Regions from separate parts of the Mus musculus genome. Here region 1 is reported to be linked to region 2. The links are microRNA targets in miRTarBase. Many come from high-throughput screens and were not tested one by one. Region 2 holds a microRNA gene; the other region holds the end of a gene's coding sequence.

Evidence for each region. The annotated mature microRNA mmu-miR-466e-3p reads UAUACAUACACGCACACAUAAGA and lies in region 2 at 2,251-2,273, opposite strand. An mRNA with a match to its seed (bases 2 to 7 or 8) in the 3' UTR can be bound and repressed. Matches are read on the target gene's strand: a 7mer-m8 pairs with bases 2 to 8, a 7mer-A1 pairs with bases 2 to 7 and ends in A, and an 8mer does both.
Region 1: miRTarBase lists Rasa2 as a target of mmu-miR-466e-3p. Seed matches in the 3' UTR shown: 7mer-A1 at 2,750-2,756, 8mer at 550-557 and 8mer at 514-521.

The regions. Positions count from the first base shown.
Region 1 is chr9:96,539,568-96,542,642 of GRCm38, forward strand. It overlaps Rasa2 (RAS p21 protein activator 2), which reads right to left. Exons shown (of 24, transcript NM_053268.2): 24 at 1-2,908. The coding sequence ends at 2,878. Among named protein-coding and RNA genes, the nearest start is that of Gm28729, 16 kb to the left of the region's middle.
Region 2 is chr2:10,505,201-10,508,330 of GRCm38, reverse strand. It overlaps Mir466p (microRNA 466p), which reads right to left and starts at 2,325; the gene lies at 2,237-2,325. All of the region lies in intron 10 of Sfmbt2 (Scm-like with four mbt domains 2), which reads right to left. Mir467e (microRNA 467e) reads right to left here and starts at 2,610; the gene lies at 2,524-2,610. Mir467d (microRNA 467d) reads right to left here and starts at 701; the gene lies at 617-701. It also overlaps Mir466.

The DNA of each region.
Region 1 (3,075 bases), not on the chromosome of region 2:
GCATTTGTCACATAGGTGGGGACACTAGAAAGCACTGCGGAGTCCATCTTTTAGGCTATTCAATAGTACTTAAAGCAATTTAGAAGGTGTGTTCACTTAAAAGGAATGTATTTTCTAAAACCTAGCTTGAATGAACTTTTCCAGTAAAAGAATGCAATTCGGCCTTGGAGACACAGACAAACCCCAGCCATCAGTCACATGATGTTTCTTGTTGGTAAAATAAGAGCCCAGTTTTGATGCTTAGCTATTACCCGTGATATTAAAAACATAGTTCTTTGGTAAGCAAAATAGTTTGATTTGATAAATTATATTCCTGGGAGTAAAAAAAAAAAAAAACCAAACCAAAACCAAAACTTTTGCTGTTGCCCAGTGTCTTACCAGGTGATGATTTAAAAGAAAGCTAAACAACAGATCAGTATAATCTCAATGGATGGATACAGCTCCACTAGGAGTCAGAGCTAGTGAGTGACTGTGCTAAGTTTCCTCCTATCATCTTCTGTTCATATATATATATATACATACACATACATGTGTGTGTGTGTATATATATATACATATACAAAAACCATGTGTGTGTGTGTGTGTGTGTGTGTGTGTGTACGTATATATGTTTTTTTTTTTCAAATGCTCTTTGCAGAAGCAGAGAAAGGAGACCATGGAGGTAAGACTCTAAGTACGCAAGAGCACAGCATAGGAGAAGCCCCGAGAAGGGCCCTGACTGTCCTTGGACTCTGTGGACATAGTTTCTGATTGGAAAAGACTTACTAAAGAAAATTAGTTTTGTATTTCTCTTTTTACACTGTACCAAGCTGGCTAATTAATTCCAGTCAAGCTGGCTGTTTAAAAGGTCATGTGAATAAAAGAACTACAATATTGAGCTCTCAGAGTTACACATGTATACAGCTTTGGCCCCTGTGACCCTATGATCATTAAAAATACTTGCAATTGGAGTTTGATATTAGAAAGACCAGGTGAGCCAGATGTGGTGATACACATTTAATCCCCGCACTCAGGAGCGGAGGCAGGTGGATTTCTATGAGTTCTAGGCCAGCCAGGGACATAGAGTGAAGAAATCATTAGGAAATCATCCTTTTTTGAGGGGTGGGGTGAGGGAGAAAAACCCCTAAACAAAACAACGAACAGATGATCCCAAACCACTCTAGAGTCTTGAACTTCAATGCCCCTGGGTTTTGTCCTTTTTAGGAAGACATTTGAGAGAATCTAAGTAGGCATTTTAATATGAAGTTCATGATAAATTTATTAAATGGCTAATGTTTTTAAAAAACACCTGTAACAGTATAGTTAATTAGATCCATAAGTCTGTCAGATTTGAAGGACTCTTTTAAGCTTCAGTATGGACCAGGAGTCACAGCGTAGCACAATGCAGGCCAGCACTGACTTAAAAGTCATTTGTAAAAAAATCTATTTTCAGTCATGACGTTTATAATGGGACAATTCTCTGTGTTAATGATCTTTAAAATACCTGCTAATGAAGTAAAAATAATTACCCAGCAACAACATAATTGGTAAGTATATTTTGAACTATAGCTTAAGCTCAACGACAGGGGATTGCAGCTAGTGAGACTTCCACCAGTAAGTCACAGTTTTCAACAGGAACATATGGAAATAGACCAAGGTTCAAAGTACCACACTCAGAAAATAGTTTTAATTAAAAAAGACAAGTAAGTACCATAGGTTTTAATACTGATGAAGCCGAGTGTATCACTCCTCCTCAGGGACACTCGCTTCAACTGCTTATTTACAGGTAGGGTTTCTAGGGCCAGAGGAGGGTAAGGAAACACAGGTATCCCAACAGTTGCTGCCCCTGATCCCCTTTGGCTAGCAGGCAATAAGGAAACAGCAATACAATATCAACATTTTCAGGAAAGCACGGTTTGATATTTAAACACTGATCATTCAACTGATCAAAAAAATAGATACTACGGAGTATCCAAACCACAACCTGGAATGTGCCAGATTATTAAAGTGCGCCAAGTGACCGTTCTCTAGTTAGAGCAGGACCTAACACTATGGAGGGTATCCTTACACACCCTTATTATGATGTGGGACAGAAGGCAACATCAGGTGATCTCCTCACTACTCACTCATGCTTCTCTTCTGGTTGGGAAGAGCTGCCCTCAGGAGGAGTGCTAACCTGAATTCTCGGAGAGAGCGAGTCCCTGACAGCTGAACAATGAAGGCCACTTTAGTGGTCCACTGTCTTGGCACCACCCCCCACTCCAATGTAAACATGGTGCACACAGGAGCACACATCCCCTCACAGCTGAGCACCCTCACCTGTGACCAGGAGAGACACCCGCCAGCTTTCAAAGGTGTTCAGATGTCTGTGTCTGTCTCTAACCTGTAATGGCTAACACAACAGAGGAAAAGGGTTTTTTTTTTTCCTTTTTTTTTTTTTTAAAGACAAACGTCCAGATGAACTTAATGGAAAGTTCTGACCGACAAGGAACTCTAGCTCTATAGTAAACTCAATGTTGGCAGCACAGAGGAGGCACTGACGGTGGTGAGTGACACAGGAGTGCTCCAGGTGGAGGTGGGGTCTTGCTGTCAAGTGCTCCCTTGTTACGGAGCTGCTTGGGTCCTCAGGAAGACCCTTCCCATCAGAAGGAAGCTGCAGGGACACGGGGCTGGATGCATGGCTATGGAGGAAATCTTGGGTTTCAAATTCTTTAGTAATACACACATCAGCATCAGGATCCCCAAACAGTTAATTTCAATCATTAAATATTATACATTATGACAGACAGCATGTATCATCAAAGCCGATGTCCATTCTTACATACTATGAACAAAACGGGGTGAACTGAAAAACTTGATGAAAAAGAGTATTTTCCAGTTCTCCATCAGTTGGTCAAACTATGATATTTTTCCAACAATTGGATTTTCCCTACAAAACAATAAAAGAAATACACAAATTAGCAATGTGACATACACAGAACCCACTGAACACTTTTAATTTTCCTTGACTGCTCATGCTGAGTCTTGTTTTATTAATCTGACAAGTCTTATTGATCACTTACTATATTTCAAGTTCTATTCTAGAAGCTAATGGTA
Region 2 (3,130 bases):
GTCACATATCATTCAAATGGACTGAGGAGTGGCATGCGTGTGTGTGTCTGTGTCTGTGGATGGGTCTATGTGTGTGTAGGTATGTATATTCATATACACAATCCACACACAGTTACACACATATACACATACATGGGGACATCACATGATTCCCAGGCAGATCTCTAAGTCATCATGAAATAAAGCATGAATTTGAACTCCTGACCTCCTGATTCTAACAAGCATTTTTAACATGATGGGTGATAACTCTCCCTGACCTAGTCACACATAATCTCCAAAGCTCACAGTCACATAGATCAATGAGTGAGTGCCATTCCTGTGTGCCTGTGTGCTCATATGTGTCTTATGTGTGCGTGTATGTATATGGATATCATATTCACATATGTACATGTACACACACATAAACACATATACACATACATAGGGGCAATCACATGAATGCCAGGATGACCTCTAACTCATCATGCCTTTACCATGAACTTGCACTCCTGATCTTCCCGACTCTACCAAGGGTTTTCCCGTGGTTTGTGAGACCTCACCCTGGCCCAGTCATACATAACCTCCAAAGCAGTAGGTCACATATCATTCAAATGGATCCGTGAGGGCCATTCCCGCATGTCTGTGTGCATGTGTGTGTAGGTGTGTGTATGTATATGCATAAAATATACACGCATATACATGCGCGCACTTATGCACACAGGCACATACATAGGGGCCATCACATTATTCCAGGATGATCTCTAACTGCTCATGAAGTTAAGCATGAAATTGAACTCCTGATCCTCCTGACAATGCCAATTGTTTACACCTTGTGAGTGAGACCATTCACTGTCCTTCTACTGCATAATCAGTAACATTCTAAGACATATATCATTCAAATGGATCGATGAATGCCATACCTTGGTGTGTGTGTGCTTGCTTTTATACGTGTGTGTGTGTGTGTGTGTGTTATGTATAATCATATACACACATGTACATGCACACAAAATTATGTGTGCATGTACATACCTAGGGTCCATCACACGAATCCAGGATGATCACTAACTGATCATTAAGTTAAGCATGATTCTGAACTCCAAGACTTCTGATTCTGGCAAGCGGTTTTCATCTAGTTGGCGAGATATTTCACTGTACCATAAATATACACTCTATGAAATTCTAAGCACATATAAAACTTATGGATGACTGCCATGTGTTTCTGTATGCATGCATGTGTGAATATGTGTCAATATATGTCTTTTCATATATCCGCATGTACAGACAAACTTATCTATACACATACACAGAAACAATCACATGAATAACAGGCTGATCTGTAACTCATCAGGAAGTTAAACATGAATTTGAACTCTGGGACCTCCTGACGCTGGCAAGAGCATCCACCTCCTAACTGAGACATAGCTCTGGCCCAGCACTGCATAAGCTCTAAAGCTCTGAGTCACATACCATTCCAAAGGATATATGAGTGCCATTCCTGTGTCTGCATGTGTGTATATGCATATTCACATAGAGAAGTGAATATGCACACAACTACACACACATGCACATTTTGGTGTGCATCAATGAAACACATGCTGATCTCTAATGCATCATGAAGTTAAACATAAACTTGAACACCATATTCTCCTGACTCTAGCAAGATTATTCACCTCCTACCTAAGAAATAACTCTGGCCATTCCTATGAATGTGTGTGCATGTGTGCATATGCATATTCATATAGAGAAATGAATATGCACACAACTATACACACATGCACATTCTTGGTGGGCATCACATGAATCCCGTGCTGATTTCCAACTCATCATGAAATTCAGCACAAATTTGAACTCCTGATCCACCTGACTCTGGCAAGGGATTTCACCTGCTGAGTGAGACCTCTCCCTATTCAGTACTGAGGAATCTTAAAACTCTAAGTCACATATCATTCAAATGGACTGAGGAGTGGCATTCATATGTGTGTCTGTGTATGGGTCTACGTGTGTGTAGGTATGTATATTCATGTACACAAATCCACACACAGTTACACACATATACACATACATGGGGGCATCACATGATTCCCAGGCAGATCTCTAAGTCATCATGAAATAAAGCATGAATTTGACCTCCTGACCTCCTGATTTAAACAAGCATTTTTAATATGATGGGTGATAACTCTCCCTGATCTAGTCATACATAATCTCCAAAGCTCACAGTCACATAGATCGATGAGTGAGTGCCATTCCTGTGTGTCTGTGTGCTCATATGTGTCTTATGTGTGCGTGTATGTATATATCATCATATTCACACATGTACATGTACACACACATAAACACATATACACATACATAGGGGCAATCACATGAATGCCAGGATGACCTCTAACTCATCATGCCTTTACCATGAACTTGCACTCCTGATCTTCCCGACTCTACCAAGGGTTTTCCCGTGGTTTGTGAGACCTCACTCTGGCCCAGTCATACATAACCTCCAAAGCAGTAGGTCACATATCATTCAAATGGATCCGTGAGGGCCATTCCCGCATGTCTGTGTGCATGTGTATATAGGTGTGTGTATGTATATGCATAAAATATACACACATATACATGCTCACACTTATGCACACAGGCACATACATAGGGACCATCACATTGCACCACTCTTTCATGAAGTTAAGCATGAAATTAAACACCTGATCCTCTTGACACTGTCAATTTTTTACACCTGTTGAGTGAGACCATTCAGTGTCCTTCTACTTCATAATCAATAAAATTCAATGACATATATCATTCAAATTGATCAATGAGAGTCATACTTATGTGTGTGAGTATTCAAGTCTGTATGTGTGCATGCATGTGTATGTATATGTATAATTATATGCATACATGTACATTCACACAAAGTTACACACACATGCACATACCTAGGGTCCATCACATAAATCCAGTACGATTTCTAACTCATCATGAAGTTAAACATGAATTTGAACTCCAGATCCTCCTGACTCTGGCAAATGGTTTGCATCTGATTAATGAGATGTTTCCTGTCCCATGAATATGCACTCTATAAAACTCTAAGCACATATAAATCAAATGGATGATTGCCATGTGTATTTGTGTACACATGTATGTGTCCATATATGTGTATATA